Elephas maximus indicus: one gene and its partner. Each later gene encodes a partner of the first gene's protein in a complex. Links are inferred from orthologs where the notes say so. Each region holds a gene or a part of one and is shown in the gene's direction. Other genes may lie near its edges. The genes, in order: ALK and ALKAL2.

Region 1 (15,499 bases):
GGGGTCTGCATCCCACTGCTCTCCTGCACCCTCGGGGCTTCTCTGTTGTGTTCCCTGTCAGGGTAGTCACTGGTTGTAGCTGGGCACCGTCTAGTTCTTCTGGTCTCAGGATGATGTAGTCTCTGGTTCATGTGGCCCTTTTTGTCTCTTGGGCTCGTAATCGCCTTGTGTCCTTGGTGTTCTTCATTCTCCTTTGATCCAGGTGGGTTGAGACCAATTGATGAATCTTAGATGGCTGCTTGCTAGCGTTTAAGACCCCAGATGCCACTCTTCAAAGTGGGATGCAACATGTTTTCTTAATAGATTTTATTATGCTAGTTGACTTTTTTTTTTAGTTGACTTAGATGTCCCCTGAAACCATGGTCCCCAGACCCCCACCCCTGCTACGCTGGCCTTCGAAGCATTCAGTTTATTCTGGAAACGTTTTTGCTTTTTGTTTAGTCCAATTGTGCTGACCTCCCCTGTATTGTGTGCTGTCTTTCCCTTCACCTAAAATAGTTCTTGTCTACTATCTAATTACAGAATGCCCCTCTCCTATGCCCCCTTGTAACCACAAAAGAATGTTTTCTTCTCAGTTAAAACTATTTCTCAAGTTCTTATAATAGTGTTCTTATACAATATTTGTCCTTTTGCAACTGACTAATTTCACTCAGCACAATGCCTTCCAGGTTCCTCCATGTTATGAAATGTTTCACAGATACCTCACTGTTCTTTATTGATGCATAGTATTCCATTGTGTGAATATACCATAATTTATTTATCCATTCATCTGTTGATGGGCACCTTGGTTGCTTCCATCTTTTTGCTATTGTAAACAGTGCTGCAATAAATATGGATGTGTGTATATCCGTTCGTGTAAAGGCTCTTATTTTTCTAGGATATATTCCAAGGAGTGGGATTGCTGGATTGTATGGCAGTTCTATTTCTAGCTTTTTAAGGAAGCACCAAATTGATTTCCAAAGTGGTTGTACCATTTGACATTCCCACCAGCAGTGTATAAGTGTTCCAATCTCTCCACAGCCTCTCCACCATTTCTTATTTTGTGTTTTTTGGATTAATGCCAGCCTTGTTGGAATGAGATGAAATCTCATTGTAGTTTTGATCTGCATTTCTCTAATGGCTAATGATCACGAACATTTCCTCATATATCTGTTAGCTACCTGAATGTTTTCTTTAGTGAAGTGTCTATTCATATCTTTTGCCCATTTTTTAATTGGGTGATTTGTCTTTTTGCCGTTGAGTTTTTGCAATATCATGTAGATTTTAGAGATCAGGCGCTGATCAGAAATGTCATAGCTAAAAACTTTTTCCCAATCTGTAGGTAGTCTCTTTATTCTTTTGGTGAAGCCTTTGGATGAGCATACGTGTTTGACTTTTGGGAGCTCCCAGTTATTTACCTTTTTTTTTTCTTAAATAATTTTTATTGTGCTTTAAGTGAAAGTTTACAAGTCAAGTCAGTCTGTCACATATAAGCTTATATACACCTTACTCCATACTGCCACTTACTCTCTCCCTAATGAGTCAGCCTGCCCCCTCCTTCCAGTCTCTCCTTTCGTGACGGTTTTGCCAGTTTCTAACCCTCTCTACCCTCCCATCTCCCCTCCAGACAGGAGATGCCAACACAGTCTCAAGTGTCCACCTGATACAAGTAGCTCACTCTTCATCAGCATCTCTCTCCTGCCCATTGTCCAGTCCCTTCCATGTCTGATGAGTTGTCTTCAGGAATGGTTCCTGTCCTGGGCCAACAGAAGGTTTGGGGACCATGACCGCCGGGATTCTTCTAGTCTCAGTTATACCATTAAGTCTGGTCTTTTTATGAGAATTTGGGGTCTGCATCCCACTGTTCTCCTGCTCCCTCAGGGGTTCTCTGTTGTGCTCCCTGTCAGGACACTCATCAGTTGTGGCCGGGCACCATCTAGTTCTTCTGGACTCAGAATGATGTAAGTCTCTGGTTTATGTGGCCCTTTCTGTCTCTGGGACTCATAGTTCTCGTGTGACCTTCGTGTTCTTCATTCTTCTTTGATCCAGGTGGGTTGAGACCGATTGGTGCATCTTAGATGGCCGCTTGTTAGCTTTTAAGACCCCAGATGTTACACTTCAAAGTGGGATGCAGAATGTTTTCATCATAGAATTATTTTGCCAATTGACTTAGAAGTCCCGTTAAGCCATAGTCCCCAAACCCCCGCCCTTGCTCTGCTGATCTCCGAAGCATTCAGTTTATCCCAGAGACTTCTTTGCTTTTGGTCCAGTCCAGTTGAGCTGACCTTCCGTGTACTGAGTATTGCCCTTCCCTTCACCTAAAGTAGTTCTTATCTACTAACTAATCAGTAAGTAACCCTCTCCCACCCTCCCTTCCTCCCCCCCTCGTAACCACAAAGGTATGTGTTCTTCTCAGTTTATACTATTTCTCAAGATCTTATAATAGTGGTCTTATACAATATTTGTCCTTTTGCATCTGACTAATTTCACTCAGCATAATGTCTTCCAGGTTCCTCCATGTTATGAAATGTTTCACAGATTCATCACTGTTCTTTATCAATACGTAGTATTCCATTGTGTGAATATACCATAATTTATTTATCCATTGATCCATTGATGGACACCTTGGTTGCTTCCAGCTTTTTGCTATTGTAAACAGTTAGCAGCTAATTTCTGAACCACTGCACCACCAGGTCTAGTAAGTAATGACTGAATTAATATTTAATAAATTTAAGTACTTTCCTTTCAGCATGAGGATTATTAGAGTATAATGTATATATGACTAGAGACATCCTTTCTAAAGAAATCTTGTTTTGTTTTTCCTCTTTCCACCATTATGTCTTATGTGTCTCCTCTTTCTGTCTCTCTGTGATGCCTGGGAACCTCAGATTTATTTTCCAGATCACTCCCAGTTTAATCTATTCATGCCAAGGTAGCCAGAAAGCCTTAGTCAGCCTGGTCCCTGTCAGGTCCATATAGCACATGGTTTCCTCAGCCAGAACACATTCCAATCCTGACCCTCATTTTTGAAATTTGATCATAATTGCTTCTTCTTTTACCTTGGCAAGGACTTATCAGATGTCAGGCTCTGGGAAGGAAATTTCTCATGTGCTATCGTATTTAATCCTCACATCAACTTTGTCAGAAAGAGGTTATAATCCACTGTACAGCTGAAGGATAAGGCCCAAGAGGTTAAATCCTTGCCCAAGACCAGGCATTGTCCAATAGAAATATAATATGAACAATATTTCTAGTGTTGTTGTTGTTAGGTGCCGTTGAGTTGGTTCCGACTCATAGCAACCCTACGCACAACAGAACAAAACACTGCCCGGTCTTGCGCCATCCTTAAAATCGTTGTTATGCTTGAGCTCATTGTTCCGGCCACTGTGTCAATCCACCTCATTGAGGGTCTTCCTCTTTTCCGCTGACCCTATACTTTGCCAAGCATAATGTCCTTCTCATGGGACTGATCCCTCCTGACAACATGTCCGAAGTATGTAAGACGCAGTCTCGCCATCCTTGCTTCTAAGGAGCATTCTAGCCGCACTTCTTCCAAGACAGATTTGTTCGTTCTTTTGGCAGTCCATGGTATATTCAATATTCTTTGACAACACCACAATTCAAAGGCGTCAACTGTTCTTTGGTCTTCCTTATTCATTGTCCAGCTTTCACATGCATATGATGTGATTAAAAATACCATGGCTTGGGTCAAGCGCACCTTAGTCTTCAAGGTGACATCTTTGCTCTTCAACACTTACAAGAGGTCCTTTGCAGCAGATTTACCCAATGCAATGTGTCTTTTGATTTCTTGACTGCTGCTTCCTGGCTGTTGATTGTGGATCCAAGTAAAATGAAATCCTTGACAACTCCAATCTTTTCTCCGTTTATCATGATGTTGCTCAGTGGTCCAGTTGTGAGGATTTTTGTTTTCTTTATGTTGAGGTGTGATCCATACTGAAGGCTGTGGTCTTTAATCTTTATTAGTAAGTGCTTCAAGTCATCTTCACTTTCAGCAAGTAAAGTTGTGTCATCTGCATAACGCAGGTTGTTAATGAGTCTTCCTCCAATCCTGATGCCCCGTTCTTCTTCATATAGTCCAGCTTCTCGTGTTATTTGTTCAGCATACACCAGGGTTGTATTTTTTCACCATACCTATTTAATCTGTATGCTGAACAAATAATACAAACAATATTTCTAGTAGTTACATTAAAAAAGAAATCAGTAAAATCAATTTAATAATATATTTTATTTAACCCAGTATATCCAAGTATTATCATTTCAACATGTAATCAATATGAAAAATGATGAATGAGGCATTTTGTATATTTTTTCATGCTACTTCTTTGAAATCTGGTGTGTTTTTTATGCTTACAGCACATTTCAATTTGGACTAGTCACAATTTAAGGGCTCAATAGCCACATGTGACTAATGACTACCATATTGGACAGAAAGGGTCTAAAGCATAAATCAGACCATGTGACTTCTCCATTAAATTATCTAGTGTCTTCCCATTGCAAGCAAAATAAAATTCAAACTCTTTACAATGGCCTATGCAACCCTAAATGATCTAGACCTCTTCAACTCTAGCATTCACTGTGCTCCAGCCATATTGACCTTGCAGTCCCCTGGGAGAAAAAACATATTCCCACCTCAGGGTCTTTGCACTTGTTGTTCCTTTGTGTGGAATGCTATATCCAGATCTTTGCATGATTGCCTCCTTTCCACCAATCAAAATTTAACTCAAATTTCACCTTCTCAAAGAGGCCTTCTCTGACTATCTTAGGTAAACATATTTGAATGTTTATTGTCTATCTCCCACCCATTGTAATGTAACTCTCTAGAGGTTAGGCAGTCTTTTTCTTGTTCATAGCATTATTCCTGTAGCTTAGAACAGCATCCTGTATATAGTAGGTACTGAAGAAATGTTTATTGATCAAGTGAGTGCCTGACTTAATTAGCCTTAAAGGTGTCAGTCACGTTTTGTCTGTAGTCACATTGCCTGGATTTGAAATGCCATTTTTATTACTGCTCCCCTTATAGAGAAGAATTCAAACCCATCCTCTTTGCTTGAGTGGTTCACTTCCCCCTTTCCAGAAATTAGGAATTTCCTGAGGAGGGTTTTGGTGGCTTCAATGCCCTCCTTGGCTGTTCTTCTCCCAGTATGAGGTCTAGCCATTTTCCCCTGCCCCCAATTTAGCTGCCTAAGTCATTTATAGGGTTACCCAGTCCACTTCACTCAACTGTCTCCACAGGGCTTCCAGTACCTTCTGTGTCTGACTCTGTGCATCTCCCTCCATATCGCTCTTTCGGTTTCTTCCTCTGTTCACCTCTGTCCTTCTCAGCCTGCTCAATCATACTCCATTTTCATTCAGAGCAAAGGTCATTAGGAGTTTAAGGTGATGGGCTTCTTAGTCAGATATGTGAGTTCAAATCATGGCTGTAACTCTTATTACTTATGCATCCTTGCTATTGGGCATTTGCCCTCTATGAGCTTCAATTACTGATCCGTAAAATGAAGATAACAATATTATGTCACCTTGTAGGGTTACTGTGAATATTAATCCAATAATGCACAAGAATTATTTAAAATATGCTGGCACATAGTATGTACAAAGACATGCTAGCTATAGTTGCCCACACTTGATCTTTCTCACTCCATTTCCCCCGTTTGCTTTTTATTCCACTGTGCTGTCTCTTGTCCTCTAGATGGCAATGGTATAAGGTAACCCAGCTGCCTAGGAAGAAAGTCCTGAAGATCTACTTCTGAAAAAAAAGCAGCCACTGAAAACCCTTATGGAGCACAGTTCTACTCTGACACACATGAGGTTACCATGAGTTGGAATTGACTTGAGGAAACTTCTCTGGGCTGCTCTTGTCCCAAAAGGTCACTGTAACACACACACACATACATACTTACAGATGCATATGTATGGAGCCTGATAGATTCTATAAATGTTCATCTCTGCCTCCTTTTTAAAATTATCTAACAAAAAGGTAAGCAAAACCTTTTAGATTGAGTATGAGTTAATCTACAGGGAAAAGCATCTGTCTCTTCGTTGAGAAAGTTTGACAGAATTTATAGAAGTGGAAGGATTCATGGAGTCCCTTGAGTCCATGAGGTGCAAAGCTCAGGGACATCATCAGGGAACTGTTAAACCTGGTGGCTCATTTGGAGTTGCAAGTCTCTGCAGCCCCCTAGTGGCCATTGATTGCAGCTGAGGATTTATAAATCCTGAAAAATACTCCTTATTTTGCTTGGGGGTAGAATTATATAATTAAGAGATGAGTGGGGTGGGAGACAAAAGGGCCTATATTTTAGTACTTTCTCCTTGGGTCAGATAATTCTTTGCCCTTAAGCTTGTAAAATCAGTGTACCCAGTCTTAGTTCCAGGAAAAGGCCAGATGCCTGTCAAATTAAGCTAGTTGCCAAACATAGAGCCATAAACAAGTCATTCTGAGAACTGGTATTCTTTTTGTTATTAGATCTTCCAGTTGCCAAAAGTCAATGCCACCATGCTGAGAAAAACCCACCTGGGACAGCAGAGGCTCTGCTTGGCCGCCACCTCCTGTAGGGCCCTGGTCAAGTCACTGTCCCCTTCCGAAGCCCAGTGATTCTATGAGGAGGCTCCTCTACTGCCTGCCAGGCTGTGAACTCGTGGAAGGAGTATCTTGCCTCATTTTGAGCTCTGACTGTTGGTACCACTCCTGGAATGAACCTTTGTGAGGAACGGAGGGATTCGTGTGAACCAAAGATTGCAGTCTTGCTTATGGTTCTAGTGAACCTCTTGTTTTAAACACAGCCATTGTCTGTGTCCTGTGTTGGCAGCTTGGGATAGAGGGAGGGAAAAGAGATCAGAGGTATTTCACAGTACGTCAAAAAGTCTGGGATTCTGAACTCTCACTCCCAAGGCTGTGAGAGCACCTGGCCTTTCCTCCTTCCAGCAAATTCGCCCCTAGGTCTTCCTTGAGGGGACTGTGGAGGAGTGTGGCAGAACTGCTCATGGAGGGGAATGGGAGAGCAGTGGTTAAGAGCACACGAGTGAGAGGCTGGGAGCCACACATGGCTCCGTGACTCAGGGAAAATCAATCAAGTTCACTGCCACTCAGTTTTCGCATTTGTAAAGACAGCATTAAAAATATTTATCTTGCAGGGACTAGAGGAGGTGGCACCTTTGCGAGAAAAAGCGGGGGGGGGCGGGGGGCGGGGACGGGGGGAGAGCGTCTGACTGAAGCTCTGAAATTTATTTGTTGTAACTGAAGAACAACTAACTGTAAGACCCGCGCCACCTCCACCTCCCCCACCCCTCAATCTGCAGACTTTTCCTGTGTGGAAGGTGCATTCAAATAATGAAAGGGTCAAAGAAGATTCTGTCTCAGGGACCTAATCCAAGCTGTTCTTGGATTTGGCAACGTCGCGCTGTCACCCCTCCCCTCTCCCTTCCCTTCGCCTCCAGTTTTATTCCGGAACCTGCTTTTTTGAAGTCGGAACCATTTAATCTCCCAAATGCATAATTAGGGAGAGCGCTTGTTTGCAAAGGCCTTTTCCAGTCCTCCCATTTGTCCAAATCACACCCCCTGACTGTTCACACAACAGAGAAATAGGGCAGGGAATCTGGAGGAAGAGAAGGGAGAAGGGAGGGGAAAGGGAGGAAGGGAGAAAGGAAGGGAGGGGCGGGCTCTGTGCTTTTCTCAATGAGTGCTACAGATTTGCATAGGAGCTGGTCTGGAAGTGCCATTGGCCGACGGGCGCGGACGGGGCGGAGCGGGCCGGCGCGGGCCGGGCAGTGGCGCGGAGTTGGCCAACGAGACCCGCCCCCGCCGCGGCCCCGCCCCCTCCAGGCGCGCGCTCGCGGCCCCGCCAGCTGCAAGTGGCGGGCAGCCAGGCAGATGCGATCCAGCGGCTCCGGGGGAGGCAGCGGCCCCAGCAGCTGATACCTCCCGCTGCCGCTTTCCTGAGGGTCGCGGGGCATCAAAGCGCCTTCCGGCCGCCTTCTGGCAGGCCACCCAAAGCCGCGGAGCCTGGCGATGGGTGAGGAGGGGGCAGCAATTCGGACTCCCCTGCGCTGAATGCTTTCATTCAGCTGCTGCCGCCGGGGCCGCCTCGGTGCGAACTCCGAGGAACCGAACGAGGACGCTGCAAACTTGCGCGGCGGTGACCTGAGCCTCGGCTCCGCGGCGCTAGGGCTCCCACTCAAGCCCAGAAGTTCACCGGGCATGCAGTCCGAAGGCTTCCCGTTGCGGAAGGTCAGATGAGGGTGAGCTAGAAGGCAGCTTTGCCCTCGATTCCCGCCCAGAGGAGGGGAAAGGAGCGCTGAGGAGCCGAGGGGTACTCAGGAGGCGGCCAGGAGAGCGGGCACCAGCTCCGGAAAGTTGCGGAGGATTGGAAGCCGGCAGGAGAGCGGACGGAACCCGGTTCCGGCCCCTGGGGGCAGGAGAGGACGGTACCCAATTGCCGCCTGCCTTCGAACCTTCGTAGTTTCTCTCATTTGGAGCACAGCGAGCTACAGACGGGGGCGCGACACAAGGTCCTAGTTGCTGAGCTCAGCGCGCTTCAGGGTTTCTGGAACCCCCTCTGAGCTGCCAGCCCCATTTCCCTCAGATTCTTGCTTGCATCCTTGAAGTTGGGGAAAAGTGAGAGAGAGGGTCCAGTGCACGCCCAATCCCTCAGAGGTAGGTGGAAGAAGCCGTTCAGGGCCAAGGGCTCTTGTGAGACTCTTCCCACTTGGGGGGAATTGAAGGACTGGTCTGGGCGAGGGAGAGTCGGGAGACAAATATAAACAGCTTCCTTTTGGCGGGATGGGTGCCATTGGGTTCCTGTGGCTGCTGCTGCCCCTGAAGCCGGTGTTTGCGGCGGCCTCAAGCTCCGGGACCGGGACTAGCCAGTTTGCGGGCTCACTCGCCGTGGGGCCGCCACTGCAGCCCCGGGAGCCGCTCAGCTATTCTCGCCTGCAGAGGAAGAGCCTGGCGGTGGACTTCGTTGTGCCCTCGCTTTTCCGCGTCTACGCCAGAGACCTGCTGCTGCCACCGTCTTTCCTCTCAGAAATGAGGGCTGGACGGCCTGAGGCGCGCGGCTCGCTGGCTCTAGACTGCGCCCCTCTAGTTAGGCTTCTGGGGCGGCCGCCCGGGATATCCTGGACTGCAGGCGCGGGCTCCCCGGCTCCAGCCCGGACACTGTCCAGGGTGCTGAAGGGCGGCTCGGTGCGTAAACTCCGGCGAGCCAAGCAGCTGGTGCTGGAGCTGGGCGAGGAGACAATTATTGAGGGGTGCGTAGGGCTCCCAGAGGAGGGGGCTGAGGGACTGCTCCAGTTCAACCTCAGCGAGCTGTTCAACTGGTGGATTCTCCACGGCGAAGGGCGGCTGAGAATCCGCCTGATGCCCGAGAAGAAGGCGTTGGAAGTGGGCAGAGAGGGAAGACTGTCCGCTGCGATCCGCGCCTCCCAGCCCCGCCTTCTCTTCCAGATCATTGAGACCGGTGAGCAGCTCCCGCCTGAGGGTGCCGGGATTTGGTTTTTTAGTCACACCAATTTGCAATCACTATTAACAAACCCTCGTTTCCAATCCAAGCCTTTGGTTTTTACCCCTCTTTCCTCTTTCTACAAACCTCTTTCCCCTGTTCCACCATATTTTCTTGTTTTCTCCCTAAATGCCGTCACTTCCCAAAGGCCTTCCTTTCTCTTTAGAAACCAAGTTGGCGGGGGGGGGGGGGGAGTTTCCTGCTCTTGGCAGAATGCCTCCTTCTACCCACTTACACATGGTCAGAGCCAAAATTGGATGCCCTTCCTCCTGGGCCCCTGGGACGGTTGACATATTGCTATTAGTTCTAAGGTTCCAAGCTTAGTTCTGTGTCTCAAAACTATTGCCCTTCTTTCTCCCCCTGTCACCACAGATTTTGGGAATGCAGTACAGTTTCTCAGGGAATATAGAATTTCTGGCCATATTATTGAATCCTGTCCAACTGTCCCCCAAAATGTTGGCTTTTCCAAGGATTACCTCTTCTTTATTAATTCATTACCCCACTCTCCTGCCTACTATCTGCTCTCGAACTTTCATTCTTTCTCTCCGATGTCATTGGGAGAGCCTCAGAGGAAGGAGATGTGCAGAGAGAGAGGAAAATTGACAAGATTGTCTTTGGGGGAGTTACTGTGGACCAGGGAGAGACAATAGTTAGTTTTCCAGCCTTTCTTTCCCCACCTTCCTCTTTTCCTGTGTATTCTTACCTTAAACGTCTGCAGCAGTAGCTCTCGATGACAGTCTCTGGCAGCCCTGTTTCACTGCAGAGCTCTCTGCTGAAGACTCCTGAAATGAGGTTTCTGTTTCATTACTCCCTCATTTTCTTCTCGTATTTATCGAGTTGCAGGAGTTGGTGCAAGTACGTACTTCTAACTCGTCCCAGAGTATCCTTTGACTGGAAGACCAAGTGGTTTTGAATGGATGTTTCTCTTGTAAGATCACTGGGGAAAGACTTGTGAATAAAATATACAATGTAAATGGTGAGGAAAGCACAAAAAAGAAATCATGCATTTTAAAAACCTGCACTAATTCCATTGAGCAAATCCAGTTTCTTTTCTATCATTCTTATCGTCAGAAATAAATGAAATTTTTATGCTCCACGGGTTACTAATGTCTAACATTAATTGGATGGAAAGCATTGAAAAATGCCCATTGTAGAGCTACAAGTATCTCCCATGCTTGTCCTGACACACACAGAAACTCCCCCACACACCCGATGCTCTCATGCAGCAGGGATATTCAGAAGCTGAGGTTTCATAGTCATTACACGGAAAACATAGGGGCATGTGGTATTTAAGGAAAACAATATGGATGCATATTTCACCATTAGCATTAATGGCATTGGCACCTAAAATGACCCTTTGTTGGCCAGTGCTGAAATTTATGTAGTTCATAGTAAGAGTAAGAGACAAGGTCTGATGAGTTTGCTAGTTCCTTCTATGGACTGAGGTGGGAGACCAATACTGTTGTCTTATCAAGAATAGCTTTGCAAAGAACAGATGGGCTTTAATGTCATTGTGGCTTCTGTGGTTTATAATAAAACATTCTCTTTTTGTTCCCAATGTTTTTGTAATGGGTATAAAAATGACTTCTCTGGAAATGTAGGTTTCCTTTCACATTCATGTCTGTGAGCATCACTGGACCTTCCCCCATCATCCCCTGATAAATGACCATAAGCCTCAGCAACCTATGTCAACTGTTGCCAGATGCTGGTGAAAGGCAACAGTGGTCCTTTCTGCAACCCTAAACTTGCCTACAATAAACAGCCAAGCTCTGCATGAAGTTATCAGTGGGCATCTCTGAAGAGTCACTGCTTAATGCATTTGAAGAATATACTCCAGTCAAGTCTTAGATAAGGATTTGGAGCAGCTGATCGGGGGTGTTTCATGTAGAAAGGAGCACACCCCAAGAGCTGCTCCACTACTGGCAGTAGAGAAGCACTGTGATCATCCCAAGCCTTCTCTCAGCAGTACAGTCTATTTGGCAGCTGGACCAAGCCCTTATGCATCATTTGACACATCTAGTAGGACTGGTTTCAGAAAGAGCCAGGATTCTGCCATTAAAAGGCTGGAAATTTTGGCCAAGTGTTTTTCAACAGGATGGGGATCAAATGATTATTGATGAGATCAAATAAGACACTAAGTGTAACTGGATGAACTTCCCATGACCTCTAGAGAGACAGGAAGCTTATTGAAAAACACTTTGGGCCTCGAGGTGATCACACTTGGAACAGAATGGACTTCCCTGTCTCTGAGCACATAAGCTGCATGCAGCTAGGCAGCTGGCCATGGAAGACTGGTCTTATGCCTTACTACCACTGCCACCCTAGCCTTATCCAAATACAGTCTCCAGTGCAGTCTTCCCCATGAAGTAGACACACCCTGCTGTATCATGTTTCTCATTTGGAGAAACATATATCATTGTGATCTTATTAATTTTCTTGTATGAAAATTCAAGCTTAGGTCTTGCCACTTGGATTGATTTTTCTATTTATCATGTTTAGGAAAATGGATTTATTCTTTATATAGGCCCTGATTTATAGAAAAGATATTTAACTCTTCCGTGACATGGGATCTTCAGCTATGTTTCTGCTCAAATGACTGGTGGTCTGGCCTAGAGGTGTATGATCATGCTGATGGAGCTATTCGTGGGCAGGAGAGTGGAAGACATAGTTGTCCTGTCATCCCTTTTGGTGAGGGGCCTGGGAAAGGCTGAAGATAGCTTCCTAAACCTGAGCAGAACAATGACTAGGGATGTGGTAAAAGTGGAAAAGCATCCAGTTAGGGCAAATCAATACCTTTGTGTTACATGTGGTTTGGGCTCTCTGAGAGGACAAAAAGATGTCGGAGAGGCATTATAATACATGATGTGCTAATGATTTTTCTTTGTGGGTTACTTTGAATTCATAAGTGGGATCAGTGTTCCCCAAAGTATCCATTCATGACGAAGAGGTAGAGAGGCAGTTTCTAGGACTGTATGAATGGTGATATGCCCTCCTGGGACAGCTCAAATCACAGGAAATAACATCTGTCTTGAGGTTAACACATTGCCTGTATCTCTGGTTTGTATTCTGTTTTGTAAGTATTTTGAGTTCTTGCTTCTCCCATACCCCAGGCAGAGGTCTGGAGGATGATGAACTGTGGGATAGTATGGGCTCTTTCCTTGTAAGCACACCCCCTTCTCCACTCCAGGAAAAGGAATATATGGCTTTGGGCTTTACGTGTACTATGGGGAGGCCTGAGCTATTTAGAATAGATGTGTGCAATGCAGTACACCTGACCCTTGACCTCACATATCTGTCAGTCCCTTCTCATTTCATTTCTGGAGAAGGTGGAGAGAGCAAGGGAAAATAGAGGGGAAATTGGAGCTCCCAAAAGAGATATCATTTATTGGAGGTGAATTGGGTGAGTTGGAACTAGTCCAGAGAAGAGCAGAAAGCTGATTTAAGAGTTGAAGGGACTGATTTATGATGATAGATGAAAATAATTAAATATATATGGCTGGGCTAAGTGGTGATAAAGGGAAAGCCATGGTAACAATCTGCAAATCTCTGAAGAGGGAGAGTGGCAATGAAGGAGAGGAGTTATTTAGTGTGGTCCATGGAAGTAATAGGATGAGACTTGTAGAAGGAAACTTCGGGTTAGATATCAGGAAAACCTTCTTATTTTCAGAAATTGATATTCCTCTGACTATGGAAAAGAATTCCAAGGGAGCAGGGAGTAAGGTAAGATGTGGGTCAGACAAGCCACAGCATTCATAATTAATCAGCTCTGTATTTTGGAATGTTGAGAAGACACAACTGACAGGAGAGCTGGGATGGGGAACAGCAGCAGGAATCAGGATCTTTTGAGATATAATTCCTGAGAGGCTTTGGTGTTTCCAGGGGGAAAAGAAAAGAATTGTGGATTATCTTTGAAGGTGTTGGGAAGAGCTTACAAGAAGATTGTTAGTGAAAAAAATATTTTGAAATTACTATGTTTACTCCCCCCACTCATCAAAATACTTTGATTAAAAACATATAGTATTTCTCTGGGGTGCTTTATGTCATCTGTATATCCTATGGGCAGGCACACTTACCAGAGCATTATGTATCTAAGATACATCTATAGGCATGTGTAGCATCGAATCATTGGGTGGGGCAGAAGGTGACTTGGGTCTTGATAAGATGGCAGTGAAGTATTTAGTTCTATATTGATCAGTTCTAGATTTGGCAGACACACGCTGCCTGCCTGAAAACCCTTTGACATGATGAGAATGGATACTGACATCTGAAAGAAGAACTTCAATCACATCCAATTGAACATTTCACAAATTTACAAAAGAAAAATAAGATCCATGTGGGTTTTGGGTATGTGGTGTGGAGTATGGAAGGAGAGCATTACCATTAATAAAAATAAATGTCTCCATAAAGAAGTTGGTCTGCTGAAGGTTAGGAGGGAGTATACTGTGGGTGGGAAGAGAAGAGAGTGAGGGGTGAGTCAGCAGAAGTTGAGGTGCCCTGCTGTCCTTAGGATTACTGCCAGATAACCTCACTTCATAGAAACTTTTCCGGTTTGACTTGTAAAGGACATTTTGCCTTATGTTATAACCATTATTAGTATTCTATTACAGTTGTATGGGACTTTACAATTTATAAAGCACTCTCACATTTGTTATTTTTATCAAGGCTATGCAGTAGGCAGGGATGTATTTGATTTATTTTACAAATGGATTAACTGGAACCCAGATGTTTGATAACCTAGAAACTTTCATTTATGTATTGAGAGGTTAAGAGATTCCAAATACTGTCCTAGGTACTGACTAGGACTGCAGTTCTCCTTGCCTTCAAATTAGGGCTCTTTTCACTAAGGGAATTATCTCAAGGTGCATATTACAAACAACCAACAAGCTTTTAAATAGATAAAAACTTCACATTATCCTTGTCAGAAGGACATCCAACAAATATTTGGCGGGCAGTTGCCATAGTCTTGGAAAGGTTCTTTAAGATCTTTGAGGCCCAGTTTCATCATGAGAAAAATGGGGATAGTAAAAATTTCTATTTCAAGGTGTTATTTGAAGATTAAATGCTGAGCCTACTGCCTGACGCATAATAAAGTGTTCCATTACTATGAACCATTATGTGTTTTTCTAGTAGCAGCAACACTCAGGACTTCTGGATATGGTTAGGCTGGTTACATACTCTACAACTCCAAGAGTTCCATATACATTTTAGTCTATGTGAATGGTGCCATAACGCTCATAGCAGCAGTTAGAATACTGTGGGTTTCCCATGAAACTAACTTCTAACTTCCAAGAGATGATAGATGGATCAGTGAAAAATGATGAGTGTGACCAGGGTAATAGTTTCTATTGTCTTACCATGGGAGGCCTGTCATTTCCAGAAATGTGGATGAGAAGGAGGATTGAAGTGTGGTGTTTACTTCATTTCCATCAACTAGTATCCTCTTGTAGGTCTTTTGATCTTGTATTCAGTCCAAAGATTCAAATAACATACTCAAAATCCAATTTTTTTTTCCTCCAGAAAGAAGCCAAGCCTCAACTTTATGAAAGTATGAAAGCTAATATTGGGGAAGAGTGAGATATAGGCACCACAGAAGAGTAGTTTTCAGATAGTGGCTCTTCCTTAACTGAGAGTTTGAGAGTTATCTGTTGTCTTAGTCATCTAGTGCTGCTATAACCGAAGTACTGCAAGTGGATGGCTTTTACAAAGAGAAATTTATTCTCTCACAGTCCAGAAGGCTAGAAGCACAAATTCAGGGTGCTAGCTTTAGGGGAAGGCTTTCTCTGTCAGCTCTGGGGGAAGGTTCTTGTCATCAATCTTCTCCTGGATTAGGAGCTTCTCTGCACAGGAACCCCAGGTCCAAAGGACATGCTCTGCTCCCGCTATTGCTTTCTTGGTGGTATGAGGTCTCCCTGTCTCTCTATTCACTTCTCTTTTTTATATCTCAAAGGAGATTGGCTTAAATTGTAGATTAATCTTATAGGTTGAATCTACATAAATGCTGCTAA
Region 2 (15,621 bases), about 41 Mb from region 1:
ACTTCTTCTAAGACAGATTTGTTCATTCTTTTGGCAGTCCATGGTATATTCAACATTCTTTGCCAACACTACAATTCAAAAGTCATCAATTCTTCCTCAGTCTTCCTTATTCATTGCCCAGTTTTCGCATACATATAATACGATTGAAAATACCATAGCTTGGGTCAGGTACACCTTAGTCTTCAAGGGGACATCTTTGCTTTTCAACACTTTAAAAAGGTCCTTTGCAACACATTTGCCCAAAGCAATGTGTCTTTTGATCTTTTGACTGCTGCTTTCATGGGTGTTGACTGTGGATCCAAGTAAAATCAAATCCTTGGCAACCTCAATCTTTTCTCCCTTTATCACGATGTTGTTTATTGGTCCAGTTGTGACGATTTTTGTTTTCTTTATGTTGAGGTATAATCCATACTGAAGGCTGTGGTCTTTGATCTTCATCCCTAAGTACTTCAAGTCCTCTTCATTTTCAACAAGGAAGGTTGTGTCATCTGCATAACACAGGTTGTTAATGAGTCTTCCTCCAATCCTGATGCCTCATTCTTCTTCACAGAGTCCAGCTTCTCGTATTATTTGTTCAGCATACAGATTAAATAGGTATGGTGAAAGAATACAACCCTGACACACACCTTTCCTGACTTTAAACCACACAGTATCCCCTTGTTCTGTCTAAACAGCTTCCTCTTGATCTGTGTACAGGTTCCTCATAAGCACAATTACCTGTTATGGAATTCCCATTCTTCTCAATGTTATCCATAATTTGTTATGATCCACACAGTCGAATGCCTTTGCATAGGCAATAAAACACAGGTAAACATCCTTCTGGTATTCTCTGCTTTCAGCCAGGATCCATCTGACACCAGCAATGATATCCCTGGTTCCATGTCCTCTTCTGAAACCGGCCTGATTTTCTGGCAGTTCCCTGTCGATATACCGATGCAGCCATTTTTGAATGATCTTTAGCAAAATTTTGCTTGCATGTGATATTAATGATATTGTTCTATAATTTCCACATTTTGTTGGATTACCTTTCTTGGGAATAGGCATAAATATGGATTTCTTCCAGTCAGTTGGCCAGGTAGCTGTCTTCCAAATTTCTTGGCACAGACAATGAGCACTTCCAGTGCTGCATCCATCTGTTGAACCATCTCTATTGATATTCTGTCAATTCCTGGAGTTATCTAGCACTGCTATAACAGAAATACCACAAGTGGATGGCTTTAACAAAGAGAAATTTATTCTCTCACAGTTTAGGAGGCTAGAAGTCTGAAATCAGGGCACCAGCTCCCTGGGAAGGCTTTCTCTCTGTCAGTTCTGGGGAAAGGTCCTGGTCATCGATCTTCCCCTGGTCTAGGAGCTTCTCAGTGCAGGGACCCCAGGTCCGAAGGACATGCTCCACTCCCAGCACTTCTTTCTTGGTGGTATGAAGTCTCTCTCCTCTCTGCTCAAGCTTCTCTTTTATATCTCAAAAGAGATTGACTTGAAATACAGCCTAATCCCATAGATTCAGTCCTGCCTCATTAACATAACTGCCTCTAACCGTCCCTCATTAACGTCTTAGATGTTAGGATTTACAACACATAGAATAATCACATCAGATCACAAAATGGTGGACAACCACACAATACCAGGAATCATAGCCTAACCAAGTTGACACACATTTTTGCGGGACACAATTGAATCCATACACTAAAAAAAATGAATCCATACACAAAAAAAAAAAAAAAAAAAACAGTGCTGTAGAGTCGATTTCGACTCATAGCGACCGTATAGGACAGAGTAGAACTGCTCCACAGAGTTCCCAAGGAGCGCCTGGAGGATTTGAACTGCCAACCCTTTGATTAGCAGCCGTGGCACTTACCCACTACGCCACCAGGGTTTATCCATACACTAGGATATGCTAAAAGCTAAAAGGAATAAATGAAATTAATGCTATGGTAGAAATAAGCACAGGAAGTAATGGGAGCACCAACTCTGGGTTTATGAAAGACAGGGAGGATTTCCCAGAAGATACGGTATCTCATCTGAGAACAAAGGTGAGTAGGAGTTAGTCAATGAAATCAGGGAGTAGAAGGAAGGAAAGAAAGATGTGCCAGGAAAAAGAGTAGTAAAAGTCCTGTAGGCAAGAACTTGTTAATACATCAATATGACTAAATCATAAATTCTGAAACTGGGAGTTGCTCCAGAGATGTAAGGAAGTGTTGCTGAACTCCTTTCTATCCTGAGTTACAGGTACTCCTACTACTTTATGAGTGGAGATGGGGGGAGGGGAAAGAACACTACGGAAAATGATCAATAGTCTCTTTTGCATGAAAATTATCTGTTGGTATACAGTGCCCCCAAATCTTGGCCAAAACCAAATCCATTGCCATCAAGTCGATTCCAACTCATAGCAACCCTATAGGACAGAGTAGAACTGCCCCATAGGGTTTCCAAGGAGCAGCTGGTGGTTTCAAACTGCAGACCTTTTGGTCCAGCTCTTAACCACTGTACCAACAGGGCTCCAAACCTTGGCCAGGGTTCAGGAATTGAGTACTAATTTTTCTCGAATTGCTTAAAGAAAAAGAAAACGCCATAACAAGTATAAGTTTTCTGAAAGCACATTCCTCTTATTCATATTGACTTTGAACCCACCCATTGTGAAAGAATAGCCTGGAATTGTTTCACTAAAGAGTATTCACCAATAGACTGTTGAAGGAAGTGATGTTAGCCACCTCCAGGCATGGCTCATAACACTTCCCACTCAATCTTACACACTTTGTCTCTTCCCTCCCTCTCAAGCCAAACGCCAAGGATCCAGTGAAGAACTCATAGGTCCTTAGGAAGGGTAGAGCTTGAATGACTTCATGAAGCAGCCCCTCATCATGTTTTAGACTATAACTAGAGAAAAATCAATCTTTATATTATTAAGCCACTAAAATTTATAGATTATTTGTTAGAGTGATTAACTTGCTCTAAAAAAAAAAAAATACTACTTTGTTAGTGACTATCTTTGGTATACGGCACCTTTAGGGAATTTTGGAAATACCTGCATAGGCCCAGAACATAACGTGTAAAATTTTCTATCAGGGTATGGAATCTCCTGCAGAAAAATACCCAGAAAACAGATGGACTGTAGGCATAGTAGTGTTGTTCCTCAACATGCATGATTACATTTGGTTCAGATATTCCCATGGATGGATCTGACTGTTCATAGATTTGAGACAGGCTTTTCAGTACATAGGAGAACCTTCTTAATTTTTTTTAACATATTGATGACGGGTGTGCACATTCAAATTTATTCTCTCTGTTGCCATCAAAAAGGTGCTTGATTGATGAGTCGGTAAGAGTAAATAAATGTCCAAGTGCCTTGAGATTTCCCCTCTGGTTGGATTTTATAACTAAACCACTTTGAACAAATAAGACAAAGCCTATACTTCCCCTTAAGCTTTTGCCCTATGAATAATGCTCTTAGGCTTGGCCATAGGACAAAAAAAAATAATAATAACAGAGCCACAATAAATTAATCATGCTATAGAGTATGTGAAGACCTTATCCAAAGCCTTTGGATCACATCACTTCTGAACACATGCTGTGATGCGGTTTTGCATGAGAGCGTGTGTCAAGGAATGGGAAGAGAATGAGTGACCTACTAACATTAGAATAGTTTGCTTCCTCTATAAATGAGGGAAGAATTAAGCTGGACACTGTATTTCGGAAGAATTGATGCCTTGAATTATGGTGCTGGTAAAGAATATTGAATATACACCATGAACTGCCAGAAGAACTAACAAATCTGTGTTGGAAGAAGTATAGCCAGAATGCTCATTAGAAGCAAGGACGGTGAGACTTCCTTTCACATACTTTGGACATGTTATCAGGAGGGACCGGTTCCTGGCAAAAGACATTATGCTTGGTAAAGCACAGAGTTAGCAAAAAAGAGGAAGACCATCAATGAGACGGATTGACACAGTGGCTGCAGCAATGGGCTCAAACACAGCAATGATTGTGAGGACAGAGCATGACTGGGCAGTGTCTCATTTTGTTGTACATGGAGCCGCTATGAGTCAGAATCAACTGGATGGCACCTAACAGCAGGACTGACTGCTAGATATCATGTGTATGTTATTACTTATACGGCATTACATTTGTTACATTTATTCTAGAAAGACTGGTCTGTTAGAGAGCTTGTCTTCCTAAATATTTTAAACCTATTCTGGTACATGGCTAGCATACTAATAAGATATTGACAGTAAATATAACAGAATTGGTAAAAGTTTAATCTTGAATAGTATTTCTTTAGACCACCTAGTTATCCTTTATAAAAGACAATGATTTTTCTCTTTAATAAGTGTTTAGTTAGATTGTTAAATGATTTAACATAATAGTTGAACAAATACACCGATCCATTGAATAGTTAATATGTGTCTATTTTAGAAGACTTTGACAGTGATTATTCATCTCACATAAAACATATATACCTTATTGGGAAAAGAGAAAAATGGTTGCAGTTGAAATGTTGGAGCTTTATACTGTTGATAAATTGAAAAAGTAACTTGCTCATTTCATGACACAGATGTACAGTAAAAGTAGAAAAAACACGATTTAACCCCTCCTGCCTCGTCCCAGTTAATTTTTTTCCTGTGACGCTATACAGTTTTCTCAAGAAGGATGCAAAACTGAATCAAATCCAGCAAAATATTTTTTTTCCCCCAGTAGTCCTAGCATGTAGTTTGTTGCTTAATGTTCTCTCTTATCTTTTTTGGCTTTTAGACCCTTACAGTAGAAATTGCACACTTACTAAAGGAGGAAATTAAATTACTTAATTTGAACATATCACCTCTTCTTGCCTGAAAACAGATGGTGAAACTCACATTGACGGTCTCAAGTGAATTATCTTGAACTTTTTGTGGGAAACATTGTATTTTATTGTTTTCAAACTTTTTTCTGGCAACAATCATAGAATTACACAGTTTTAGACTTTGGAGGCTGTCTAGTCCAACCATTTCATTTTACACAAAAAGAAACTGAAGACTAAGTGATTTATCATACACAAATCCACATCTTCACGTATACTTGTACGTGCTTTCCTTTGTCTTAACCAGCAAAGCCAAACAATTAAGTTAATCAGGCCGTGTTAACAACTCACGCAATCCATACATTTATGGCATTTGGAAAACTCCAAGGAATTCACCCCGAAAATACCAAAAACTGAAAACTCTGGCACAGATTTATAAAACGGTGCACTCTTCCATTAATTGGGCAAGTTGAAAAAGTCCATAAATTTTCTTTTACATAAAATGAGAAGTACCTGGGGTCATTTCCACCCAGACCTTTGCAAAGATGAATGGATCGACACATGAATTGTCTGACTCTTAACTGCCAGGTCTCATGAATCCAAACACCAACCAAGGACCAATTCTGTCCTCATCATTTATGCATGAAAGTATCTAATGAGTTAGGCTGAAGTGCTGGCATATACAATTGAGCAGTGGAAAGGAGACCTGAGATTTATTCAGAAAGAATCCATTTGTCCCATTAAAAACTGCAAAAGAAAAAAAAAGGAGTAATACTAGTGACTGGCAACACTTTCTTGGTTGGTGGAACTTTGGGTGGGAGGGATATATCTTATTGGTATTTTTTTAAATAAATCTAGTTTTGGTTTAGTAAAACACTATTAGAAATCAAAGATTCTAAGCAAATTTAAAATAACATGGGATTGGTCTAATTTGTTTGCTTTTTTCACCAGAGCAAGATCTTTTCCCCAAATACAGTCTTATACCAAAATATTTAAAACATGCTTCTGTTATACTGGAAACTGAAGTTGTGCGCCCTACAGGGGCCAGGCTAAAAGATGGCAGCCGACTGAGACCTGGGAACGGTATTAGCAGGAGGCAAGCGTTTGCCACTAGGCGGCGCTCTTGCAAAAGGAGCTTCCATTTCTTTTTCTATACAGAAAGGAGAAAACGGGGAAAGGAAAAATATATTTCATCTGCCTAAGATCTATTTGTTGGGTAAGATCTATTTGATATGAATTTGTATTTTTCTTGCGTATATTTTAACAGAAGCTGTCACATTTTAGTCATATTGGTTGAAAAAAATGTTTACTGGGAAAGCAAAACGGGTTGCTTTCAAGAGAGCAGGATATAAACCCATACCAAAATAGAGGGGGGTTTAAATGATCACATTTTAATATCTTCCATCTCTACTCTACCGACCCCAACCCCAATCCACCAAATACATTCTCTTCAAAAGGAAACAGCATGAAGGGAAGGAGAGAGAGAGGAAATGAGAGGGAAGAGAAGAGAGAGAAAACAGGGAGAGCTATTGGAAAATTTAGCCATCTAAAAGTCTGTCCTGTGTCAATGAACTATTTAGTCCATGCACACATAAACACGGGCAACATCTTTAGCGTCTTTGCCTTTGTGCCACCACCCCTGTCAAAGGCGAGGGCTTTTAATTCTGGCCCATACTCTCCCTTTCTGGTACTGTACTGAGAACACCTCTCCCAATTAGATCCGCTTTCTTGGAGGGCATCCAGCTCTTGCCCAGAAAGTGCCAATAAAATGGGAAAGTGCTCAATTGATTGGTAATACATTTTACAAGAAAAAAAAATTAAAGGAGGTAAATTGTTCAATTCTCACAGCTGTGTCTGCCTACAGTCAAAGAGCCAAAACTTTATTACTTAGCCCTGGAAGCAAGTGCCCCAAGGAGGGATCTGTCAGAGATTTCTCTCCTGCAGACTGTTCAGAGGGGAGGGGAGAGAACGGTCAGTCTGCTGGAGAATTTAAAATAAGGATTAACATGCAAAAAGGCAGGGCAGGTTGGGACAGTATAGTCTCCAAAAGGGACCGATGTCTGGGGGTTCTACAAAGCAGTCGCGTGCGTTGTTTTCACGCAGCCACAGGTAACATACGTTCTCCTAAGAGGATGTAGGGCGGGGAGGAAGGGGGCGCCTGCACATACCTCTGTCAGGTAGCTGTTGCAGCCGCAAGCTTCCTGCACTTTTTACTGTGTTTTCCCTTGGCCTCTGTTCAAGCCCACTGACCCTCGTTGCTGCCCCCACCCCTCTTTGAAGAGCGGCCTTGGGGAGGGGGCACTCGCCCAGGGACGGGGCTTAGGACGGTGCAGACCGTCTCGGCGTCCTTAGAGTAGTTCCCCAGCGACACCATCTGATCCCTCCAAAATAGATAGACTTTAATTGACTTATTAAATGTCGAGGCAATCAAGCAGCCGCTCCTTTTTTTAATAGCCCCAAGATCTACATTTAGACAAAAACAGATCCAAGTTCCTGGTAAAGGCGTTTCTTCTCATCCTGTCACAAGTGACAGGAACGGAGGGAAATAGACTGAGAGAGAGAAAGGGGGGGCTGGGGAGAGGGAGAGATTGGGGCGGGGGGGGGTCTGACGAAGATCCACACAAAAGGGTATGAATATTTCAGCGGCTTCTTAACGCGCTTCTAATTAAAGACTCCGGCTCCTGCAGCCCCGGGGGACCCGCGCCCTACGTGTGCAGGCGCGGGAATAAGAGGCGGCGGAGCTGGCCCGCGGCGAGGAGCTGCCCGGGACACTCGGGCCGCAGCGCGCCCTCGGAAGGCGGCCGCGCGGGCGCCTGTGCTTCTCCAGCCTCCCCGAGTTGGCCGAGTCACCGGGCACCGCGGCTCCCGCGCATCCTATAAGCTATATAAGCCGAGGCGCCGGGGCCATGGAGTAGTGGGCGCGCGGCGGCTCCGGGCCGGCGGGGACAGTGCCCAGACGTCGGGACAGACGTCGGCGGCTCCGAGGGCGCGGAGGCAGGTAACTCCCAGGCCGGGGCTCGCGTCCCGCACCCCGCGCCCGCCGCCTGGCCCCGCACCGACAGACGAGTGGCCCTGGCCGTCCTTCGCAGAGCGTCGCGGCCGGCGTCCCCTCCGTCGCCTGCCCGGGGTTCGAGAACTGGCGGTCGCCGACAGGGCCGGGGCCAGGGCGCCTGGGGTGGGGGACGCGGTAGCCTCCCTGCCCGCTCCCGGGGTTCCCGGTACCTGGGTGCCCTGCACGGCGCCGGCTCCCCGCGGAGCGCTCGGGGCGCGCGGTGCCTCCTCCGCCTCGGGACCGAGTCGGGGCCGCCGGAGGGGCTCCGCCAGGGCGCGGTCGCCACTGCAGGTCCCCGGACGGCGACCCAACCGGGCCAAAAAAAAAGGCATTGATTTAGAAACTTATTTGCAGGAGCCCAAACTGGGCGCAGGATCACTAAACTGCATGTGCTTTCTTTTCTTTTTTCTTTTTTTTTTTTTTTTTTGAGGTAAGGGAAGCAGAAAAGGGGTCAAACAACTTTAAAGTGTTCACCCCACAGACAGACAAGCCGCCCAGAGGATCATTTTTTTTAATAATAATAATAGAAGGTTCCGTTGATATGCTGTGATACAGGATCGGACAGGATAATTCATACGAAAAGTTCAGAGGGCTCGCCCGGAGTCGATGGGACACTGGGAGAGTGGCAAACGGGGGAAGAGTCCTGGCAGCCAGGGCGTTAAAGGGGCGAGAGAGAGGCCGAAGTTTAAAATCGCAGCCGCAGGTAGCGCGTTTCCCGCAGTGGAGCGGGTTCTCCGGGCGGGGGTCGCGGTGGAGCAGTGCTGGCTCTGCGCTCCCGCCTCACCTGGGCCGCGCGCCTCAGCGCGGAGTCGCCCCGCAGCGCCCCGGTGCGGCCCCGGGGCCGGGAGGGGTGCCCTTCCTCGGGGCGCTGGAGGCTCCCAGGCTCGCCCGGAGCAGTGAGGCGGGGTTGGGGAGAGCCGCGCTCCGGGAGTGCCGAGCGCGGAGGGGCGCCTGGAGGACTGCGTAAACCGGTCGTTCCAGCGCCAGGTGGCCGGGTCTGATCGCAGTATAAGCGGGGATCTGGCCCCTTTTCTCTCCCGGGTTCTCCAGCCCAGAGCGTTTCACTGAGTGTATTCTCCCCTCCCCCAACAACCCTGACTTTCTTTCCCTGTCTCCCCCCACCCCTTTCTTTCAGTAAACAAAGATCCCGGAGAGGGTGTTGGATTTTTTTTTTCCTGCTTCATTCCTAACTTAACGCACCATCCTGACCCTATGCAAACTGACATGAGTGGACCGAGGCGTCCTGTCCTCCTGGCGCTGGTGTTCTTGCTGGTGACGGTGGGACCGTGCCGAGGGAGAACAGAATCTCGAGAAATCACAGACAGACAGACTCTCTTAAACCTCATCATGGAGATCATTCAAGAACTTAAAAAATACCACTTGGGGGAATACAAGAGATTGCAATTTTTCAGCAAACATGACTATACTTTGGGCCGTAGGGAGGTCACTGACTACGGAGTTTATCCTGAGGAGCAAAGAGTTGGTAAGTCGGCCCCTCCTTTACGTTATTTATGTCAAGTCTCCCCCACCCCTCCCAACACACACACACGCTCACAGACACATATAACCATGGACTACTTTTAACAGCTTCGATCTTGACTGTGTTTATCTAACTTTCATACCAAAGAAGGCACTAGAAGATTTGTATCTGGTTGAAAGTAGACGTGTCTTTGAGAAAACACATTTTAAAAAGAGAAATCAATTCCGATTGTTAAAAGAACAGAAACAAAACTCGGAAATATTTTTACAAAGAAACGGAAAATAGTAAGATTTACGTACAGCTGCCTCACAGACAATCCTAACTAACCCACTTCTAAGATGTATGAATTGTTACCAATGGCAGTAACTTCTGCATAGAACTGTCTGTCATCTGTTATTTTGGAAATGGAAATATTTTCAGCAAAGCAGTTGCAGCTGAAAGAGAAATGTTTCAGAGTTCTCCCCCTTCGGTAGAGCCTTTCCCAGAGTGACTGCCCCATGGGAAATTTCTGAAGAAAGCATGTAAGCTTTAATGCTTTTCATGACACAATTAGGTCAAATATGATAGGGTCAATTTTATAGAGAATGACTAAAGTTAGGAGTAAATGAAGACTGACATCAGAGAGGTATCTAGACCTTGCGAGTGAGCAGGATTCTAAGGGAAACGTTCCTTCAGATGAGATGTGGGAAGGAGCTAAGGATTTGTAGGAAGATAAATAAAGTGTGGCATCACATACCATCATCGCTAAGTTATCAGTGCAGAACAGATAAGTGAAGATGATTAAAGATGACTGTAATAAACAAAGCACAAAGGCTGAGACCAGAAGGAATGTCTGTGAAACCACTGTTTACAAGTGCCAAAAAAAAGATGCTTTAAAAGGAGAATTGCTTGGAAGAGTCTTTTCCTGGGAAATGTATGCTTATCTTATAAACAAGGTTAATGTATATTTCAATTTATTTACATCAGCCATCTTAACAGGTGGTTTTGAAGGCATTTAATCCTTTATCTAAATATATACCAGGAAAAAGTAAATCCTATAAAAATTTTTTTTGTTTGAAGGGTCAGATTCTCTTCCTAGAACTTTGAGGGAGGTTTTGAGATTTGATTCCCAAGCTCTGCAAGATAAAAGTTTCTAAAAGTGATTTATACTGGAAGCTCACTGTCAGAAATAACCTTCACCTTGTAACTTTATGATTGCTGCCCGTATCCAGATGGTAGAGACTGGACAGATAACATTGGAGTTTGCGAGTAGTTCATTCTATTTGAAGAACAGTATGTCCTCGAGTACAAGTTTTCACATTAGGTCATACATAACAATCAAGGGTGGCTCCAGTCTGTTTTATTTAGTGCAAAGAATATGGCTAATGCAGAATTCCCAATAACTTTCTTCAACATGAGCTAAAGATTACATGAGAACAAAAATGCTTCTTTCAGGCAATGTGACAATTCATTTTTAATTTCTTCCCCCGGAAACAGAAATTGTCCCCCGAGATCTAAGGATGAAGGACAAGTTTTTAAAACATCTTACAGGTAAGTTTTCTTTTCATTCCTTCACCTCTCCCTAAGTTCCTTTGCATCTTCCTGAATCCTTATAATCTGTTTTCTTCTTCATTGTTATAGGTCCTCTTTATTTTAGCCCAAAGTGCAGCAAACATTTCCATAGACTTTATCACAACACCAGAGACTGCACCATCCCTGCATGTAAGTGACAACATCTGTAAATTCCTTTATAAATATAGGCACAGGGCAGACGAGTGATTCTCTGAAATATACTTCATGTCCTTTCATTAGATAGGCCCCTTCCTTTGAAATTCGTGGTTGCTAATATGTGTTCCTTCTTAACTATGGAGCTAGGGACCAGGGTATCCAGACCACTGAAGAAGATAAGTAAATTCTACAGCAAAACTTGTGACAAAATGGAAAATTATTTACATTCATTGGAATTCATCAAGCCTTGGAATAGGCTTCTGTAATTCACATTCTTGTTTTGATTATGAATTCTGGATGATGCCTGTATTTGTATCTGCTGAAGTATGATAAACAAGGTTAAGAATGGATTGGTAAAATGGCCACTGCCGAGTCTATAGTCTGGAGAGTAAAAAAGCAGATGAACCGGAAGCATTCTGGTCGGACTTCCTTGACCTTCTCCAGTACCCTGAGCAGAGACTTCTTCCATCAGTAGTTACGTCATCATCATCTGGGAATTTTATTGCTATTTCAAAACCCTGCTTTTCTGGCTGCCAGTGGTTCTCTTCAACCTGCTCCTTCTGGCCATCTATTCACAGCAAAACGCCTTTTATTTCCCCCAAACGGGCTCACCACGCTCGTCACACTGCGCCCAACAGTAACGAGTGATTTATTAGCTGGAGTGGTATCTATAGGGCCCCAGACCAATTTTTCTCATAGGGACTAAAACTCGTATTTCATTTTAAGACTGGCCAGAGAAAAGGCTTACAAGTATACCAGATATCTTAGTAACTACTTTCAGAGAATATCCAGAGGGGGCCAGCAGATCAGACTAACCTGCCCTGCCTCCCAAAAAGCCAATTTCCATGAAGTAGTTGTTTTTTTTCTGTTTAAGTCAGGGAAATTAATCCAGATCATAACAGCTCTCATTTCTAGAGCATCACTATGTACCAGGGACTTTGCGAGTCGCAGTCACAAACACCCTATCAATTCATTGTCCCAATGGCCCAGTAAATTACTATCCTTTTACACATGGCACTGGCACACGTTAAGTGAAACCTACCACATGACAAGCAAGCGGGAACACGTGGCATTCAAATGAAGGCCTATCTGGTCACGCTGTTATCACTACACCATTCTAACTCCAAGGCAAGCTGCAAACATTTCCTAAGCAGCCTTGCTTCCATAATTTTCCAGCATGGCTTCAGACTCACCTTTTTATTCATACCGTATGTGCCTACTACACCGTGGCTTCCTTATTTCCTTCCTTCAAAGTGGAACCTCCTTCTGCTTGAGAATTATTAACCTGCTTCCTGGAGTCAGAAAACCTTTTTATTTTTATTACTAAATGTTTATATATTTTTATATGAAACACAGTCTTACAATAATAGAGTCATAAATTGTGACTTGAAAGCGATCTTAGGGGTCATTACATCTAATCCTTACATTTTTGGATGAGGAAATCGACTTAAAAAGGTTTAAACTGTCACACAGATCTTAGCTAAACTAGAACAACCTCACGTTTTGACTGTCGATCCTTTTCTAATACATCACCCTGCGTGCCACGTACGCTACCTCTTTTGAGTGGTCACTTGGCTTCATGATAGATACCAAGGCCATCCATAAAGGAAGACAGTTCACCCCGGGCCATGCAGAGGTGGACCCCTGGCAGATCTGTACACTCAGATGGGTGCCTGCTAACTGGGTTTCCACCTCTCCTTACGCCATCAGGAGCTGCAGAGCTGAGTCAGACCACTTCTGTACTGCTTTAGGCTATACAAAAGGAAAGGCATAGAATCCTGGGATGTTAGAGCTGAAAAGGAGCCACAGGGCCTTCTTACTTCAAGTGTGGATCCCAGGACCAACAGCACTGGTGCCTTGTTAAAAAGGCAGAATTTTAAGTCCCGCCCCAGACCTACTGAATCAAAATCTGAATTTTAGTAAGTTTCTCAGATGACCTGCATGCAAATCACTGCCTTAGAGAACATTCGTGTTTAGTGGGAGTATGTGATCAATCTCAGGATTTCCAGGCATGTTGCAGATGGAAAGTAGTTGCAATTCTTTGATTAGCTCAGCACTTGGGTTTACATAGTCCCCTATCTCCCTGCTAAATGATCTATTTAAGGTAATTTTATTCTAAAAACTGTGATGCAGTGGATAAAAAAGAGCCACGAAGCCAGAAGTCCAGATGACCTCGATCATTTTTCTCCCTTGAACCCAAGCTAACTTGTACTCTACATATTTAGAAGGCAGATTTTTAGAAGTAGAGTTAGCTACTTATCTGTTTGACGTATTGTGTACATTTTTTGATAGTTGTCAATTTACTCATTCATTAAGATTTTCAGTTCAAAGTATGAACTCTTCCATTTTTGTGCAGGATTTTGCTGCTCTTGAGAAATTTTAGAAATCTATCAACTGCTGCAGCCTTCCATAGAATTTCATGCTAAGAAAATTCCCTTATGGCCATGATTGCTAGACCTCACTTATTTTCAGTAACACCTATCAAAATAGTCAAACGGGAAATTATATACGAAGGAAAATCAGCCTGCTCTCAGAACTGGCCCATTCCTTCCTTTAGTCATCTAGTCTACGTCTCTCTGCTCTGTTACTTGCCCTTTGGCCCACTTTAGAATTTTAACGCCAAGGGCTTTATGTTATGGTCACGTCAGGTGAGGACTCAGTCTGCACGTGACCTACAAGTTAGGTACCACAAAGGTATGGAAAGACCCTACCTCCTTGTGTCCTAGGAAAAACTGATGTTACTTCAGTGAGCTCTGATAGCCACTGAGAGAAGAGAGGGGGCAGAGAGAGCTGCTGTGCGGTAGACTCAGCCTTTACCCCCCTTCCTTCCCTCCACCCCTAGTCAGGTTAGTTAACTTCAGCCTGTGATGCTGCAGCCCCAGGAGTTCCAAAAACTAGTCCATCAACTTAGAGCCCTTGACAGCAGATGAGTTTTCCAGAAAACTCAGAATATTTAAAGAAATAAATGGCTTCAATAACTGATATACTTGCGAAAAGAAAAAAAAGGAAAAGAAAAAACCTCGTTATTGATTTTATCAGGAAGTGTTGCTCAGGTAACTGACAGGTGTCTGTCTGTGATTTATTTCCGCGACAGACTATAAAAGATGTGCCAGGCTTCTGACCCGGTTGGCTGTCAGTCCAGTGTGCATGGGAGGATAAGGTAAGCTCTTTGACAGCACAGTTGTGTGGGCACACATACCAAGGATTGGAATCCCACTGGGGACATGGAAAATTCATGGGAGTTCAGAAAGACTTATTCTTTGGCACAAGTAGCACTTTGAGTAAGGTTGATGCAACACTCAACAAATCTCAAAACGTTGGTCATAAATAAAAGGTACCCGCTCCTGGCCGATAGACATACCTCAGGTAGCCATTAGGCTTTTTTCATCTAATGATATAATTGGCACTGAGTATATATGTTAATAAGCCCTGGTGGCGCAGTGGTGAAGCACTCGGCTGCCAACCCAAAGGTCAGTAGTTTGAACCTACCGGCTGCTCCGTGGGAGAAAGATGTGGGAGTCTGCTTCTGTAAAGATTTACAGCCTTGGAAACCCTATGGGGTAGATCTACTCTGTCCTATGGGGTCTCTATGAGTCGGAATCGACAGCAATGGGTTACGTGTTATTTGCAAACACAGCACAGTAGCTAACTACTTCCAGCACATGGCTTGGTGCATAAATTAGAGTACATACATGTTTAAAACCATCCTCATTCGCTTTTAGGATTTCACTCACTCACACTCATAATTGAGCACATTAACCTATCCATGCAAATTTTATAGATACAACTGCTAAATGTGTTGGAGTTTGATTATATCATTAGGCCAGTATGCTTATAGAGAATAGCTATCCTCTTTAAATGTTTCTTTCAGTTATATTGGCATAATCTCTAATAGTAAAAATACCAACACACATCAAGAGTTTAGGAATTAATTTTTACTTGGGCCAGTTGACGGCTGATCTGTAAACGTATAACACCAACTATAGGCTCTGCAGTCCATGCCAGATGGACTAAAAAGGTATAATTTTATATTCCTGACATAAATGCCCTGGGATTCAGTCACTTTAGACAGCAACAGTTCAGTTTCGCCAAGTTTATACTTATTGTATGTCTTGTGTTTGCCAGGCAGGCACTCCAGATGTTGAATATACCACAGTAAATAAGACATGGTTCCTGCCCTCTAATGGTTGGTTCCCAGAAAACTTATCGGCTAACCAGAAGTTATTAATAAAAAAAAAGGGGGGGGATATTATATTGCATTTCTCTAGCAGTTACTCTAGTTTGATTCATGTAAAATGGATAAAAGAGTAGTTCTCTCATACACACACACTCACTGTGGAAAAGAAAAGCAATGCTTATAAATATTTAGATAGCACTGGATGAATGTTGAGGCAAAGCCCCGGCCCCTGCCTTAGGCATGTAAGAATAAACGCTGACTTGAGGCATGGCAGGTATGATTAACCTCATCCTTCACACCATTTTCTTCGGCATCAGAAGAACGAGTAGTAAATGAGGGGAATGAAATTGGGAGAATGAACCAAGCTATAAAGTGTTAATGGATAACTATGACACATTTCATACAAGTTCTATGAAACTTTTATGAACTTT

The links.
Region 2: the proteins of ALK (region 1) and ALKAL2 are in contact, whole or in part, in a cryo-EM structure (PDB 9G5I), measured with the Homo sapiens proteins. The link is inferred for Elephas maximus indicus from reciprocal best matches to the Homo sapiens genes ALK and ALKAL2. Residues at the interface, in NP_004295.2 of Homo sapiens: Leu684, Tyr739, His755, Ser758, Leu760, Phe856, His857, Glu859, Leu965, Tyr966, Thr967, Pro968, Leu970, Lys971, Val972, Met973, Glu974, Glu978, Asn980, Val992, Glu994, Cys995, His996, Met997, Phe1007, Asp1009; in NP_001002919.2 of Homo sapiens: Ser112, Lys113, His114, His116, Arg117, Leu118, His120, Asn121, Thr122, Arg123, Asp124, Arg133, Arg136, Leu137, Arg140, Leu141.

Annotation. Positions count from the first base shown.
Region 1 is NC_064830.1:49,378,460-49,393,958, reverse strand, and holds the start of ALK (ALK tyrosine kinase receptor), read left to right. Parts: upstream 1-8,776; coding exon 8,777-9,452; intron 9,453-15,499. UniProt on the Homo sapiens protein: Neuronal receptor tyrosine kinase that is essentially and transiently expressed in specific regions of the central and peripheral nervous systems and plays an important role in the genesis and differentiation of the nervous system.
Region 2 is NC_064830.1:8,049,515-8,065,135, reverse strand, and holds the start of ALKAL2 (ALK and LTK ligand 2), read left to right. Parts: upstream 1-8,986; 5' UTR 8,987-9,038; coding exon 9,039-9,309; intron 9,310-10,782; coding exon 10,783-10,836; intron 10,837-10,926; coding exon 10,927-11,007; intron 11,008-14,107; coding exon 14,108-14,172; 3' UTR 14,173-14,173; intron 14,174-15,621. UniProt on the Homo sapiens protein: Cytokine that acts as a physiological ligand for receptor tyrosine kinases LTK and ALK, leading to their activation. Cytokine-binding is sufficient to activate LTK. In contrast, ALKAL2-driven activation of ALK is coupled with heparin-binding to ALK.